Linked DNA regions of Canis lupus familiaris. The protein of the gene in region 1 purifies or fractionates together with the protein of each later gene. This does not show direct contact. Links are inferred from orthologs where the notes say so. Each region holds a gene or a part of one and is shown in the gene's direction. Other genes may lie near its edges.

What was found. Proteins that work in one complex are often made in the same cells at the same time.
Region 2: the proteins of TSSK6 (region 1) and FKBP5 purify together in Homo sapiens (affinity purification with mass spectrometry; 4 studies listed by BioGRID and IntAct, with this or other methods). This does not show direct contact. The link is inferred for Canis lupus familiaris from reciprocal best matches to the Homo sapiens genes TSSK6 and FKBP5.

Annotation. Positions count from the first base shown.
Region 1 is NC_049241.1:44,140,202-44,143,283, forward strand, and holds TSSK6 (testis-specific serine/threonine-protein kinase 6), read left to right. Parts: upstream 1-1,160; 5' UTR 1,161-1,309; coding exon 1,310-2,131; 3' UTR 2,132-2,582; downstream 2,583-3,082. Other genes in the region: NDUFA13 (NADH dehydrogenase [ubiquinone] 1 alpha subcomplex subunit 13), read right to left, coding at 366-459. UniProt on the Homo sapiens protein: Serine/threonine-protein kinase component of the sperm flagellar doublet microtubules. May act as a regulator of sperm motility by mediating phosphorylation of sperm doublet microtubule proteins.
Region 2 is NC_049233.1:4,906,467-4,909,966, reverse strand, and holds part of FKBP5 (peptidyl-prolyl cis-trans isomerase FKBP5), read left to right. Parts: intron 1-1,008; coding exon 1,009-1,194; intron 1,195-3,500. UniProt on the Homo sapiens protein: Immunophilin protein with PPIase and co-chaperone activities. Component of unligated steroid receptors heterocomplexes through interaction with heat-shock protein 90 (HSP90).

The DNA of each region.
Region 1 (3,082 bases):
TTACACTGGGTGGCCCTGGGGGCAGGTAGCAGCCTTTCCAGGGCCTGTTTCTCCGCTTGTGAGAGGGAAGTGTGGCCGAGGGCTCGGGGCACCGGCTACATTCATCTGTTTAACCAACTGCAGAATGGAAAGAATTAATAGGATCGACCTCCTGGGCTGTTCTGTAAAGAAAGCAAAGCTCAGCAAGCTTTTGACGAACTCCAGCAGTTACCGTCGTTACCACCGAAGCTACTGGGGACCCCTGGGCTCCTTCTCCCTTCACACCGCAGTGGAAACTGAGGCCCGCGACCCCCCCCCGACGCCCCGCCCCCGTCGCGGCGCCCCGAAGCCCCAACTCTGACACCCCGGCGCTGTGCGACACTGACCCGACAGTCCCCGACGCGGAAGGTTCCGCTTGTAGTCGATGGGGCCATAGCCCCCCGGCGGGGGCATGTCCTGTTTCACCTTCGACGCAGCCATGCTCGCAGGACCCGCACTTCCGGCCGCGGGCGGAAGTTACGTCCGGCGGCCGCCGCCATGATGAGTGTGGCGGACCGTACGGCGCAGGTCTTGGGCGGGGACTAGGGCACCTAGGACCTTAGCGGAGCGATCCCACTGCGAGGGAGGTTGGGCGATGGCTACAGGGATCAACTGAGTGGCCAAGCTGCAGCGGAAGACTCCCTGTTTCTTCTTTTAGACGGGGCTGCCTCAGTCGCTGTAGACGGCTGTAGTCCGTCCAGTCGCCCAGGTCCTTGCCCTAAAGGACCTCCCTTACACCTTCCCTCTGGTGCGATGCTCAGGCCATTTACCCCAAGCTCTGAGGGAGCCACGTCACCGAGTGTTAAGCCCCCTTTCTCGTTTTCTCCCCTTCGCGGGGCTGTGCGGGCGTCCCAAGGCTCCACACGGCCAGGGCTGGGTACACGAAGCTGAGGGGACGACTGCTGCTCAGATTTGACTCATGAGGAGCTGCCCCAATGCCAGGCACCGATGCTGCTCCCGAGTGGTGGTCGGGACCCCTTGCTAGTAGCCTCTCATGGGAACTGGACCATTTAGAGTGATTATGAGTCACAAAGCCTGATGGCCTTGAGTGGCCCTGTGGGGCGGGGTCCAGGGGGCCCTTACCCGAGGCGGGGTGACGCCCGCAGTCACTTCACAAGGCAGAAATTGTTACCTGGGTAATAAAAGGCCCCGCCGCGGCAGGGACCCGGGAGTGGGCACATGGGGGTGCGGGTGTGCAGGTGCCAAGCGCCATGGGTTAGGCCCGAGATTGGAGTCCGGCCGCCCCCCGACAGCAGCCGCCTCCTGCTCCCCGCGCGCCCCAGGCGCCACCATGTCGGGCGACAAACTTCTGAGCGAACTCGGCTATAAGCTGGGACGCACGATAGGCGAGGGCAGTTACTCCAAGGTGAAGGTGGCCACGTCCAAGAAGTACAAGGGCACGGTGGCCATCAAGGTGGTGGACCGGCGGCGCGCGCCACCCGACTTCGTCAACAAGTTTCTGCCGCGTGAGCTGTCCATCCTTCGGGGCGTGCGGCACCCGCACATCGTGCACGTCTTCGAGTTCATCGAAGTGTGCAACGGGAAGCTGTATATCGTGATGGAGGCGGCCGCCACCGACCTGCTGCAGGCAGTGCAGCGCAACGGGCGCATCCCCGGGAGTCAGGCGCGCGACCTCTTCGCGCAAATCGCTGGGGCTGTGCGCTACCTGCATGACCACCACCTCGTGCACCGTGACCTCAAGTGCGAAAACGTGTTGCTGAGCCCCGACGAGCGCCGCGTCAAGCTCACTGACTTTGGCTTTGGTCGCCAGGCACACGGTTATCCTGACCTGAGCACCACCTACTGCGGCTCCGCCGCCTACGCGTCGCCTGAGGTTCTCTTGGGTATCCCATACGACCCCAAGAAGTACGACGTGTGGAGCCTGGGCGTCGTGCTCTACGTCATGGTCACCGGGTGCATGCCCTTCGATGACTCGGATATCGCTGGTCTGCCCAGGCGCCAGAAGCGCGGCGTCCTCTACCCCGATGGCCTCGAGGTGTCCGAGCGCTGCAGGGCCCTGATCGCAGAACTGCTGCAGTTCAGCCCCTCTGCCAGGCCCTCAGCGGGCCAGGTAGCGCGCAACGGCTGGCTGCGTGCGGGGGACTCCGGCTAGAAGCCGGGGTTCCCACCATTCCCGCCGTCCCGAGCACTGCGCAAGCGCAGCGCACGCGCGTGAAGCGCGCTTCCGTACCCCCGCGAAGCCGACACGCGCCACTGCGCACGCGCATTTCCCCCTTTTTCCTGTCTGGACGGCTGGGGCCGTAGTCGCCCCTGTTTGGAATCTAACCCCTCTCCCCACGATCCCGAGAGCAGGAGGGCGCAAGCGCTTCCTCTGTTCCCCAAGAGAAGGCCTCGGGAGGGGAAGGGACGAGAAGAAACGGAAGCATTGCGCCAGCGTGGAATGAGCGACGGCTGCTGGCAGGCGGTGGCTACCTGGAGGAGCTGCCCGCGAGTGGACGCGGGTGGAGGGCGCCCTTCTCTAGGCAGCCGCGCATGCCGGTGGGCGAAGGCGCGCTCCCGGCACTGCCTCCTTGCAACTTGCAATAAACTCGCTCTTCCTCGAACCTGCCTCTAGCAGTGGCCCTTTTACCGAGCAGGGGTGGGAGGTCGTCCCCCGGGGAGGCAGGCGCGGCGCCCCGTTGTGGAGGAAAGCTTGTTAAGGTTCTTGGTCTAGGTCTCGAAAGGGAACTGGGTGGATTCAAAGCGGACTTTTGGGCTCTCCAGCCTCAGCCGACTTAAAGGGATTTTGGGGTCGGCCTAGGGTTGCGATGACCCTGGCAATGGAGATGCGGGGCTGGGGAGCAAGGCATTCTCCCTGTGTTTAAGGATGGAACAGCGTGGGGGCGGAGGGAGGGGCACCTGTCTTAACAGAAACCGGGCGTTTACAGGATGAGGAAATTGAGGCCCACACAAACACTTAACCAAGAACACATTTGGAATTTGACACTGGATATGGCTGGAGTGGGGGTGGGAGGTGATGGAAAGCTCTCCTTAGTAAGGGCCTTTCCTCAGTAAAGAAGTTGCCTTGAAGGGGAGAGGATCAAGGGTGGGGGCCTAAGCCTGC
Region 2 (3,500 bases), on another chromosome or scaffold:
GGGATGGGTAAAATAGGTGAGGGGGATTAAAGAATGTACTTGTCATGATGAAAAAATGAATATATAAAATAATAAAAGTAAATCATTTTTGAAATAAGTTGTACACAGATTTTCGACTGCCTGGGGAGTCCCAACCCCAACCTGTGTTGTTCAGGGATCAAGCACATTTGTATACTGTCTATAGCTGCTTTTGCACTACTGTTGACCCAGTTGCAACAGACATTGTTTGGCCTGCAAAGCCTAAAATATTTATTATCTGCCCCTTTACAGAAAAAGTTTGGCAACTCTTGGTTTAGGTAACTTAAGATTTGCTGTGTTTACAGCTGGCACTTGCCAGAATGCAGTCTCTACTACGGAGTGCTGATCCTCAGGAGATGAGGGAAAAGTAACTTCCCCTTCAAGTAAATTAGTGATAGAGTTTAAAACTACTCACCGGGCAGCCTGGGGGGCTCAGCGGTTTAGCGCCACCTTCAGCCCAGGGCGTGATCCTGGAGACCCCGGAGCAAGTCCCACATCGGGCTCCCTGCATGGAGCCTGCTTCTCCCTCTGCCTGTGTCTCTGCCGCTCTCTCTCTTTCTCTCTCTCTATGTGTGTCTCTCATGAATAAATAAATAAAATCTTAAAAAAAAAAAAACTACTCACCAACCTTTTGAAAGTCTGATAAATACTTGTACCAAAGAATGTAACCCAAAGCCTTGATGCCCTCCTGCTGGAAGAACTGTCCCCTCTGAAAAAGATGAGATGGTACATGCTGGAGAACAGCATTCTATAATTCACTGTCCCAAACCAGCTCAGAAAGCACTGGCGCTGCAAGGAGAATGGAGAAAGGGGCCAGGATGGCTATCTCTCAAGAGCAAAAAGAAATGATCAAATACCATGGTCAGTAGGAGAGGTTGTTTCACTTTGATGATTTGTTTTTTTTTAGGGAGGCCTGAGCTAACATTTCTCTTGTACCCCTGACCCAGAGCCTGTACAACAAATTCTCACTAGCTTTTTTTTTTCTACCAGGGAGGCAAGTACATGCAGGCAGTGATTCAATATGGGAAGATCGTATCGTGGTTAGAGATGGAATATGGCTTATCGGAAAAGGAGTCAAAAGCTTCTGAGTCATTTCTGCTTGCCGCCTTCCTGAACCTGGCCATGTGCTACCTGAAGCTTAGAGAATACACCAAAGCTATTGAGTGCTGTGACAAGGTAGAGTGTCTGTGTGTGGACTGGACTTGAGATGTTCCAGATCTTTTTCTCCATCTTCATATTTGGTCATCTTTTGCTCCTTTGTAGCCAAGGGGTGGAGGGTTTTTCATTTTGTTTTGTTATGTTCATTTGTTTGCTTGGAGTTGTTTCTTTTTTTTTTTAAGATTTTATTTATTTATTCATGAGAGACACACAGCTACAGAGAGAGGCGGAGACACAGGCAGAGGGAGAAGCAGGCTCCACACAGGGAGCCCGACACGGGACTCGATCCCGGGTCTCCAGGATCAGGCTCTGAGCTGAAGGCAGCGCCAAACCGCTGAGCCACCCGGGCTGCCCTTGGAATTGTTTCTCATTATGAATTGGGAAATTCAGAAAGATTGAGATTACAGTCAAACTTTTTTTTTTAAGATTTTTTTTTCCTTTAGAGAGAGAGTGTGTGTGCATGCATACGAGGATGGAGGCAGAGGGAAAGAGAATCCCAAGCAGATACCCCACCAAGTAAGGATCCTGATGCAGGGCTTGATCCCACAACCCTGAGATCCTGACCTGAGCTGAGATCAAGAATCAGACACTTAACCAACTGAACCACCCAGGTGCCCCACAGTCAGGCTTTCCTGATGCATAGACTATAGTAATACACTATGAATAATTTTTAATAAAATTGGGGCACTGGGTGGCTCAGTCAGTTAAGCATCCAACTCGTGATCTCAACTCAGATCTTGATCTCAGGGTTGTGAGTTCAAGCCCCGTGTCAGGCTCCATGCTGGGCATGAAGCATACTTTAAAAAAAATTTTTTTTTGTTATTAAAATTATTTTCATCCATGACTTTACTTAAATCTATGGCCTTTGGTATCAAATTGAACATCAACTCCTCAGGTTCAATGTAATAACAGATTTAACCTAAGCCTTTCAGGGCTTAAGCATGATAGACTTGCAACTACTTACATAGAAGATATATACATACATTTTTTTTTATACATTTTATACATTTTTTTTTAGCAGAGTAACATGCTTTTATTTTACAACAACACATATAAGGAAAAACAAATATGCCAATGGCACATTTCCAGTTTGACAGGCCACTTCTGTATACTTCTGGGATTGTTTCTGCAGACCATATTTCTAGGAGTGAAAATATGGAGTCAAAAAATAGGATTACTGAATATTATCCATAGTTTTTTTTTTATTTATTTATTCCTGAGAGACAGAGGCAGAGACATAGGCAGAGGAAGAAGCAGGCTCCTTGTAGGGGAGCCTGATGTGGAACTTGATCCTGGAACTCTGGGATCATGCCCTGAGCCAAAGGCAGACGCTCAACCTCTGAGCCAACCAGACATCCCTTATCTTGGTTCTTTTTTTTTTTTTTTTTTTTCCAATATTGCCGGCAACAAAAAACTCTTATTTTCATTTTTATTTCTTGGTTACTGATGAAATCATACAGTTTTTCATAACCAGCCATTTTGCATTTCTTCTGTGAATTGCCTGCTCACATCCTTCAACTAGATTGATTTATATTGAGGCAGTCTGTACATTTACTTCATTGAATCTGTCTTTTCCTTTCTAATTAGAAAGGTCTCCCCCACTCTAAGATAATAGAAATAATTCTGTTTAGTACTTTCAAAAACTACTCCAACTAGGTGTACTTTTTTAAAAAACTAATTAAAAATAACCCTATTGTATTTTGATGGGACAGATTGCATGCATGTAAGTATGCTTGGTCTAGAATTTTTTGTGTTTTGATATGAGGTAAAAATTTCTCTTATTTTCCATGTTCATTTATTACAGTGTAGGCCCCATTTATTATGAAGTTAATCCTTTTCCTACTGATTGACATTCCCACTTTTGTCCCTGTTAAATCTTATTATATATACACACAAACCTGTTTCTGAATGCTTTGTTCTGTTCCATAACCTCTTTGCCCAGAGACAAGCAGTCCATCTTTTAATTTCAGTTTTTTTCATAGTGTGGTTTAATTTCAGTGTGTTTAATTTTAGTGGTTCCATAGTAAGTTTTTTTTCTGTGGTCGGTCAAGCCTCCTCTCATTATTTTTGTTTTTCCAAAATTTTCTCAGCCATTCTTGGACATTTGCTTTTTCCATTGAATTTTAAAATGAACTTCTCAATAGGCTCCTCCCCAGTCCCCTTGGAATCTTAATGGAAATTGCATTAAATACAGAAGTTAATTTGGATATAGTTGGTTCTACTTTGATTAGTATTTAATTACCTTGAATCTTGTCACTTCAGTAAACTTTTTCCAGTCCCCTTGGCCAGAAAAGTTTGGGAAGTTATTTAAATACTGAATTTCT